Linked DNA regions of Sus scrofa. The protein of the gene in region 1 interacts with the protein of each later gene in a pairwise test. Links are inferred from orthologs where the notes say so. Each region holds a gene or a part of one and is shown in the gene's direction. Other genes may lie near its edges. The genes, in order: EFHC2, PLOD3 and TSSK3.

What was found.
Region 2: the proteins of EFHC2 (region 1) and PLOD3 interact in binary tests that used the Homo sapiens proteins (3 or more experiments, as listed by UniProt). The link is inferred for Sus scrofa from reciprocal best matches to the Homo sapiens genes EFHC2 and PLOD3.
Region 3: the proteins of EFHC2 (region 1) and TSSK3 interact in binary tests that used the Homo sapiens proteins (3 or more experiments, as listed by UniProt). The two-hybrid records come from large-scale screens. The link is inferred for Sus scrofa from reciprocal best matches to the Homo sapiens genes EFHC2 and TSSK3.

Annotation. Positions count from the first base shown.
Region 1 is NC_010461.5:39,520,888-39,524,542, reverse strand, and holds part of EFHC2 (EF-hand domain-containing family member C2), read left to right. Parts: intron 1-3,219; coding exon 3,220-3,443; intron 3,444-3,655. UniProt on the Homo sapiens protein: Microtubule inner protein (MIP) part of the dynein-decorated doublet microtubules (DMTs) in cilia axoneme, which is required for motile cilia beating.
Region 2 is NC_010445.4:8,911,285-8,913,733, reverse strand, and holds the end of PLOD3 (procollagen-lysine,2-oxoglutarate 5-dioxygenase 3), read left to right. Parts: intron 1-295; coding exon 296-400; intron 401-914; coding exon 915-1,061; intron 1,062-1,284; coding exon 1,285-1,410; intron 1,411-1,515; coding exon 1,516-1,671; 3' UTR 1,672-1,947; downstream 1,948-2,449. UniProt on the Homo sapiens protein: Multifunctional enzyme that catalyzes a series of essential post-translational modifications on Lys residues in procollagen. Plays a redundant role in catalyzing the formation of hydroxylysine residues in -Xaa-Lys-Gly- sequences in collagens.
Region 3 is NC_010448.4:88,809,095-88,812,144, forward strand, and holds TSSK3 (testis-specific serine/threonine-protein kinase 3), read left to right. Parts: upstream 1-928; coding exon 929-1,073; exon of another isoform or gene 1,074-1,803; coding exon 1,804-2,465; downstream 2,466-3,050. Other genes in the region: protein FAM229A, read right to left, coding at 1-131, 213-349. UniProt on the Homo sapiens protein: Serine/threonine protein kinase required for spermatid development and male fertility.

The DNA of each region.
Region 1 (3,655 bases):
ATCCTGCATGTTTCTTTGATATTCCGGGACAAACTGCTGCTGGTGGAGTTTCTGCCATTTATCATGGAAGACTATAACCATACAAATGCCAATAACTAGAAATTTCAATCCCCAAAGGACACAGTTGAGAGATCCCACAGATATATCTTTGAAGGCTCTCATGTGTAACTGTACACTTGAAACAGCCCACGTTAGTTTTCTGATTAACATGGCATTGTGACTTTGGATTTCTTGTTTTCTAAAATTTTCTCATTTAGTGTTAGACCTGCCTTCTTTTTTCAACCCATGAATGGTCGGGACTCTCTCTTGTTACCACAGAGAACTTCCCTGGCGTCTTCTGAGAACCATCTAGCGAGAGAAGGGGCCAAGGATAAGGAAGAGTGCGAAGGTCACAGATACATGGATGCCTCAGGGAAGCGGAGGGAGGGGCAGGGGACTCAGTGGTGTTGGCCCTGGGGTGGGGATTGCTGCCACTGGCAAGTGGGCCCTCTCCAGAAATTTACTTTTAGGGAAGTGAGAGGCACTTCTTTTGGAAGAAGAGCTCCAGCATCTCTCTTTCATGGCGGCTGGCAACTCTTCTCCCCATTTCTGTCCTGTTTCGCCTGAGACACTCCCTCCACTCCTCCGCTTAAGTAATCTGTGGCTGTAGCACAGTGACATACAGTCCAGTGCAAACTGTGGAAAGCAATGGTATTTACTTAGAGCTTAAAAACCCAGATTCAAGACCTCTTTCTGTCATTTATGAGGATGTGACCTTGGGCGCGTCCCTTAACTACTCTGAGCTTTGATTTTCTCATCCGTAAAGTGAATATTTGTATTTCATGCATTATCTGCCTCATGGGATTATTGGAGATTAAAGGAGAAACACGTATGAAAGCACATCCCAGGGCTATGATGATGACTGTGATGATTATTACTTAAAAGCTCAGTGGGTGGGCCAGTTCTTCCCACTTCGAAAAATATAGGATTCCTATTTGAAGTCATAGAACAGACTTCAAATCAGAAATCAGCACTCATTTACTTATTTGAATTTTTATAATGAAGTACAAATGCGAGATAGATGGAATTCCTAAAGAAGCTCTGGCTGGTGAATACATCTTATATATTTTAAAAACTGTCACAATATAAGTATTTTTAAAGAGCTGTATAATGGTTCCTGAAAATACCTGAAATGCCCATGCTTTTATGGGTGTTTAAGTATGCAATTTGTTCTAAATGTCTAATCTTGAATGATTAAATAATTTGCATACTGTTTTCGGTGGCATGAATTAAGGGCTAATTGAAGTATAATTTTTTGCAGTAAAATTGTATCATCTTTTATGTAGTACATTTAAAAATATTCTAGGCCCGTTCTAATTTTATAGTTTTATTATTTTAATTTAATGTACCAAGTAATTAAAAATTGCTGCAAAGAAAAGAAGATGAAAATGATTTTAGTTAATTTCCTCTCAACATAGTGAAAAGATGATTAGTAGAATAATGGAACAGAGCTCAGCACACTTCCTGGCACATAAAGATATTCATTAAATGTTCCTTAATGAATAAGGAATGAATAATTTCCAAGCATTTCTAGACTTTGGGAAAAGGCACCATTCTCAGTGCTATATAAAATATGAAGAAGATTGCTTGACATCTTTATACAGAGGTTACACAAGCCAATTTTTCTTGAACCATTAGAGCCTCAGTTTGCTCTGCTTGCCATTTCTCCTTGTGTCTTTGTTCCTGGAGTAGATTCTCAGGCTTAAGTCACTCTACAGATGTTGAGGTTCAGATCTCTACGGGTATCTTGCATTTCTGTGGATCTTGGAAGCAGAGGTACTGACTGCTCTTTGTTCCGGACTGTCTTTTCAAGGATGTTTATATATAGCACCTAGCTTTGGAAGACAAAAGAGAGTTTTTCCTTTCTGGAGCAACGTACAGGTTTGCTCACAGCCTTGAAAGATAGAGGTGGTATCTCTCTCCAGAACAAAGGGCAGATATGTTTACTGTCCAGTCTTATAAAGATCATCTTTCCCTCTGACAGAAAAGCCAGGCATGCTGTTGCCCATTTTAAAAGATTTGGGTTCCCTCAGCCCAGGGTTCCTGTCTTATAAGGTAACCCACCCCATGTACAGAAGTTACCTGGCCCTTGTTGGGTCATCCTGTGGGAATTGGTACAAAATGCTGATGTTCTGGTTGCTGTTATTACTGTGAGTAATAAACTGTTGCTTGTCTCTAAACAAAGCATCTCATGTCTTCTACCAGCATCCCTGAAACTATAGTGGGCAAACTGGCAGAATAAATTGCAAGTAGAATAAAATCTCAAACCCTTAACAATTCTTGACAACAGGTTTCAGCAGTGTTTGGCTGAGTTGGGTATGGTATGGTGTAGTTGGTACATTCATCCAGTTAGGGAACCTTTTTACCTCCAGTGGCTAATTACCACTTGGGGATACTTGGGGACCCGAGGTCCATATTCTCAAGAGAAGAAGTGAATGGGCATCATAGGGTTGGAAGTTGAAGATGGGACAGGATCCAGAACCTTTAGCTCAGAGCACCGTCTAAAACTGTGAAGCCTCTGATAACCCTCACTTTGTGGGGATTGTTGGCTCTACAGGAGGAAGAGGTTGGTAGAGGAAAGAAGATTCTAAGAAGCTTCAAAGAAGCATAAAGTCATTCATACTTGTAGAAGTTAGAAATGTCTTAGTTGCTTGTTTGGTCTGCTCTCATTGAGTGCTAGTAGGTGAAAGTGAGCATGCCTATTTTGGGAAAAGACATGATGACAGTGTCTGGCTCAGTAGGCCACTCTGTTTTACCCCTCCTCCTTCCCTCCTGCCCTAGTCTTTATGGTTTATTCAAGTCCTTCCTGGAATTCCTGCTGTGGCACAGTGGGTTAAGAATCCAGCATTGTAGCTGTGGCGTAGGTTGCAGCTGCAGCTCAAATTCAGTCTCTGGCCCAGGAACTCACATGTGCCACAGGTGTGGCCATAAAAACAAGTCCTTTCCTAGCACCACTGAGGCAGCTCGAACAACATGCAAGGCGAACAACATGCAAGCGGCTTCAGAAGTCTCAGCTTCCTCTGGCACCCTCGGAGTTTGAACGTACGGATGCTACTGCCTCCAAGAACCAGCCCTTTGCCCGCTTTACTGTGGTGCATTCAGGGTTGTTATAAAGATGTGCTGTGATCTCTTTCTGGTTTGCCACATGCTGAAACAGCTGTATTTCATGTCCCACCATAGGAATTTTTATCCGCCGTCATCGGATTTCTCTCCCACCTCCTGATGAGGATCAGTTTTATACCGTGTATCATTTCAATATCAACGTAGACATTGTCTTATATGGTCGAACCTTCAAGATTTATGACTGTGATACTTTCACAAAAAACTTTTTGAAGAAAATAGGAGTCAAATTAAACCCCCCAGGACAGTGTCCAGAAGATCCTTACATGAAGACCCGGAGAGAGGTGAGTTGATTTGTCCATGGCCTTTTGTCTTCAGGATGAGAATCCCTTTGGAGCCAGTAAAAGGTATTGGTACTTGTGAGGCAGATGTGAACGAGCTTTGGGGGCCATGGTCATTGGAGTTGTCCTGTTTTCCTTTGGGCTGGAGGGAGGCTGGGTGTTGGCGTCAGTGTAGGAAAGAGTCACTCTCTGCCTCCGCCCCCACCTTCCCTCCA
Region 2 (2,449 bases), on another chromosome or scaffold:
TCCTCTCTTGTCTATGGGTATATTCATGTATGGGTGAAATGACATTTTTTTACAGCAAGTTTGAAAACGATGCTTCCGGCAGGGAGCCCTGGGACTCCCGTGCCATTTGTGCAGTGTTTCCAGCACTGGGCCCACCTTCTCTGGCCACCCTCTCCTGGTCCAGCCCCATTCCTCCACATTCTCTCATGGCCTGGTTTCCCTTTCTGCTCCCTGCTTCTTCTCCCTTCCACTGGCTGCCTATCCGCTCCCCGAGCGTCACCCTGCCCTGTTCTTCCCCCGCCCCGTCTGTCCTCAGCCCTGCCCAGATGTGTACTGGTTCCCTCTGCTGTCGGAGCAAATGTGTGATGAGCTGGTGGAAGAAATGGAGCATTACGGCCAGTGGTCAGGAGGCCGGCATGAGGTGGGGTGCTGGGGCAGGGGAGCAGGAGGGCCCCTGGGAGGAAGAAGAGGCTGGGGCTGGTGAAAGGAAAATGAAATTTAGAGAGTGGGAGCAGAAAGGGGTCCCCAAGTGGAAGGGGCACAACTGTATTCATTCATTCATTCAAGAAATGCTAGGTGGGTCCTAGATGCCAGCCACTGACTTTGGCAGTGCAGTGCGTTGATGAATTGTACGGGTCGAGCCCTGCTCTCCTAGGTCTCACCTGCTGTCAGTAGCAGCAGTGACCCAGCTTCTAAAGGCTGTGCTGGGCAGCCCAGGTGCTGTGGGAGTCACAGGAGGGGCCCATGCCCCAGACATGGGGGGACCAAGGGGCTTCACAGAAGAGGTGGCATCTTACCTGAGACTCAGAGGCCCAGCAGGAGTGAGTCAAGCTAAGGAGTCAAGACTTCCAGATGGAGGGAACATAAGCTTTAAGGCCTGGGAGCAGATGAGGAAGCTGGCACTGCCCTGTCAGCTTAGTGCCCACTGCCCGCAGGATTCAAGGCTGGCTGGAGGCTACGAGAATGTGCCCACCGTAGACATCCACATGAAGCAGGTGGGCTATGAGGACCAGTGGCTGCAGCTGCTGAGGACATATGTGGGGCCCATGACCGAGAGCCTGTTCCCAGGCTACCACACCAAGGTGACCGCTGAACCTGCTACCCTGACTCCACCTTCCTAGAACCCGGCTGGCCGTCTCCATGCAGCACCCTTTTGGGTTCCTGAGGCATTTGGGACCCCATGGAGTGAAATCCTGCAGGAAGGCAGCCCCCCTGGGGGGGGGTAGCATGAGAGCCCCTGCCACCTCTCCCCCTCCCCAGACCTCAGGACCCCCACCTCCAGCCTCTCCTCCCATGTCCCCACAGACCCGGGCGGTCATGAACTTCGTGGTCCGCTACCGGCCGGATGAGCAGCCCTCTCTGCGGCCCCATCACGACTCATCCACCTTCACCCTCAACGTTGCCCTCAACCACAAGGGCCTGGATTATGAGGTGGGTCCCTGCCACGCTCCACTTCAGGGTGCCACCAGGGTGCCTGGCTGCCGCCCAGTCCCCGCACCTGTTCACACTCCACCCCGTCCCCTTCTCATCCTCCAGGGAGGCGGCTGCCGTTTCTTGCGCTACGACTGTGTGATCTCGTCCCCACGGAAGGGCTGGGGGCTCCTGCACCCTGGCCGTCTCACCCACTACCATGAGGGGCTGCCCACCACACGGGGCACTCGCTATATCATGGTGTCCTTTGTCGACCCCTGACACTCAACCACTCTGCCCAACCTTCCCTGCCATTGTGCCTTCTCGCGCTCCCTCCTTGGAGGGGGTGTGCCCTGCCTCTCGGGCGCATGTTCCGTGTGTCTGGGACTGAATGTGTTGCCCCGCCCCCACCACACGGCCCTCGGCCCTCGGGAAGCTCAGGAAGCCCCCTTGCCCTGCTCCTCAGCCCCCAAGCATTCCCAGGGAGAGGGCTTCTAGGGGTTCGCCATGTAATAAGTTATTGTTTCTCAGTCTCCCTCAATAAAGGAGGATTTGTAACTCTCGCGTCCATTGATTCTTTGATCTACCTCTGGACCCCATGTCCCTCCCGCCACCCAGAGTGAAGGGGAGACCGGGGTCACTCCAAAGGAAAAGAACAGAAAAGACGAAAAGGCAGAAGCATGATGCCAAAGCAGAGTGGGAGCCTGGAAGCTTCCTGCGACCCCATATCTAACTCCCTGTCATCGCCTGAGCATGAGGGCCAGACCAAAAGGGCCTCCCTTGTCTGGCTCAGGTGAAAACCCACCTCCTCAGCTCTCTTCTTCTATTCTCTCCTCTCCTGATGGCATCTTCTCCCTCGTGTGAAGGCTGGGGGTGGCACAGACCTGAGCTGGGCTGCAGGGACAGTGCTAGGGAAGGAAGGCCCTCCTGGGGGCAGGTGTTCTATAAGGGAAGACAGGCTGGAACCTGACGGTAGCTGCTTTGGATCAGAAGGGAATCGGGAAGATTAACCCAAGAAAGCTTCCTGGAAGAGAGGGATGGGAAGCAGCCTTGAAAAAGA
Region 3 (3,050 bases), on another chromosome or scaffold:
CCGTAGCTACAGGCTCCGGGCTGTCCTGGGACTCAGGGGCGGCGGCAAGGCCGGGGGAGTCTCCAGCCTCAATGGGGAATCTTCGACCCTGAGGGGGCTCCTGGGCACTCATGTCCAGGCCCCGGGGCGCTCTGCGCGGGGAGTAGCGGTCAGGCCGCTACCGGGCAGCTGGGCTCCCCCACCCGGCGCCCGCCCCTTGGGCTGTTGCTCACCTGCCGGAGGCCGAGACCGGTCCCAGGCCGGAAGCAGCTGCCCGAGCCCTGGCCACGGGAGGACGCTCCGGTCCAGGCGGATCCGGGCAGGTGTCTGCTGCGCGTCCGTTCCCGGGCGTCGAAGGGGAAGGCTGCATTGTGACCCGGGCCGAGGCGCGGTGACCTCATAGAACCCGTTCCTCCGGCCAGGGAACCTCACGCTGCCCGGGCACTTAGCGGGGTGGCGAGCCAAGAGCTGGAGGGCTCATGCCATGGGTCGCACAGACCCCGAGCTGCCCTATGGGGGCACAGGAGGCGGCGTCCGCCGAAAGGAGCCTGGCATCCTGGGCTGCGCGCAGACCCCTGGAGCGCCCCCCACAGGCGGGGCCGCGAGCGACTCACTGCCTGGCGCGGGGTCGGGGCGCAGCAGTGACTGAACCCGGACAGGGTTTGGTGGTGGTGGTGGTGAGGGCAGATAGGAGCATTGCTCATTTTGGCCAAGAGTCACACATCATTTACATCACAATTAGGCCAGAGTTTTAAAATGTCTGGCCCTCTCCCTCCCCACCACCTGCGGCTGCTGTCTCCAGACGGAGAATGCTTTAGCCCTGGGGGCGGCTGCGGATGAAGTCCTTGGGGGGAAAAGGAGCGGGCCAAGGGCGATGGTGGAGTAGAGCTGCCTCGCAGAGGCAGCATGAGCTGAGAGGGTAATAGGAAGGAAGGAGGTGTTAGACAGCATGGAGGACTTTCTGCTCTCCAATGGGTACCAGCTGGGCAAGACCATTGGGGAAGGGACCTACTCAAAAGTCAAGGAAGCAGTTTCCAAAAAACACCAAAGAAAAGTGGCAATTAAAATTATAGACAAGATGGGAGGGCCAGAAGGTGAGCTGGGGGCCCTTTGGAGGAAGGGAGGGCTGGCTGAAGTGGGTGGGCGCTTCCTCCAGTCAGAAGGACCATTTCCTCCTTCTCTTTGATCTGAAACCAAGGAAAGCAAGGGAGTGTGGCTCTGGGGTAGGTCAGTGGGGAACAGAGGAATGCTGGGTGTCAAGGACAATCACACCCTCCAAAGTCCAAGATTAAATCTGCAGGAGGTAGAAGGATCCTCAGAAACAGAATCCAAGCCCACCAGGGCTTTCCTATTCCAGGACGGGAAGAGACTGGAAGGCTGTGGCCAGGACTAGCAGAGGGCAGGAGTGGGGCCAAGGAAGGTAGAGACTGGGAAAAGACAGGGCTTATGGAAAGAACTGTGACTCAGGAGTCAGAGGTGAGAGGAGCTGGCTCACCACGCTGTGGGCAATCAGGCCTCACAAAAGATTCAACAGCTTTGTCTAAAAAGTCTCCAAAGCATTTTGATATCCACGGTCTCACAGGCTGCTCACAACGGTCCCTGAGGCTGACAGGGAACAGTTCCTCTGAATAATATATTAGCTACAAAAACAACAGGGGTGAACATTCTTTGCAGTGTCCAAATAGCTGGATGTTAAAGGCTGTGCAAGGGAACCAAGGCACAAGACCCAGACATGGTGGGCCAGAGCTGGAAGGCAGGAGTCAGGAGAGGAGTTCTAGGCCCTTCTGGACTTGACACTCCTTCTCTTTTCCCTTGTGTCCTTAGAGTTTATCCAGAGATTCCTGCCTCGGGAGCTCCAGATTGTCCGTACCCTGGACCACAAGAACATCATTCAAGTGTATGAGATGCTGGAGTCTGCTGACGGGAAAATCTACCTGGTAATGGAGCTGGCTGAAGGAGGGGATGTCTTTGACTGCGTGCTGAATGGAGGGCCACTGCCTGAAAGCCGGGCCAGGGCCCTCTTCCGTCAGATGGTCGAGGCCATCCGCTACTGCCATGGCTGTGGTGTGGCCCACCGGGACCTCAAATGCGAGAACGCCTTGTTGCAGGGTTTCAACCTGAAGCTGACAGACTTTGGCTTCGCCAAGGTGTTGCCCAAGTCATGCCGGGAGCTGAGCCAGACCTTCTGCGGCAGCACAGCCTATGCCGCCCCCGAGGTACTGCAGGGTATTCCCCACGATAGCAAGAAAGGGGACATCTGGAGCATGGGCGTGGTCCTGTACGTCATGCTCTGTGCCAGCCTACCTTTTGATGACACAGACATCCCCAAGATGCTGTGGCAGCAGCAGAAAGGGGTGTCCTTCCCCACTCATCTGGGCATCTCAGCCGAATGCCAGGACTTGCTGAAGCGGCTCCTGGAACCAGACATGACCCTCCGGCCTTCAATTGAAGAAGTTAGTTGGCATCCATGGCTAGCAAGCACTTGATAAAAGCAATGGCAAGTCCTCCCCAATAAAGCAGGGGGAGAAAGCAAACCCAAAAACCCGCTTCTAAAATGTTGATATATATTTTACACTTTAAGTTTACTTATCCTAAATCTTACCTATACCCTCCCCAGCCTTACTTCTCTTTCCCTTTAAAGATCTTCATGGAACGAGAGGGCCTCATTCAGACTTCCCTTTTATTACGGCTGACAAGTGATTTTCATACCGGTGTTTAACTAAAGTTAATTAAAAACAGTCCCCAGAATCATACACGTACAGGGGGAGGACAGGAGAAAAATGACCAAGAGCAACTGAAAAAACTGTTGTTGCAACTTCCTTTCCAAATAAAAGCAGAAGCGTTGGGAATGCAGAACAGCCTCTTGACTCCTTGTCTTGGTGAGAGGCCTGCTGGGGGCTTGGCCCTTCCTCATCCCAAAGGCCGAGCCGAGTCTGGGATGAGGACAAGGGACTTCCTCAGGACCCAGGCTACCTCCCACCACAACCCTCCCCCAGGCTCTAAGTAGGAAGCCACCCTGCTCTGGCTCTAGGCAGTTGCTGTGGGGACAAGAACAGACCCCCAGACACTTT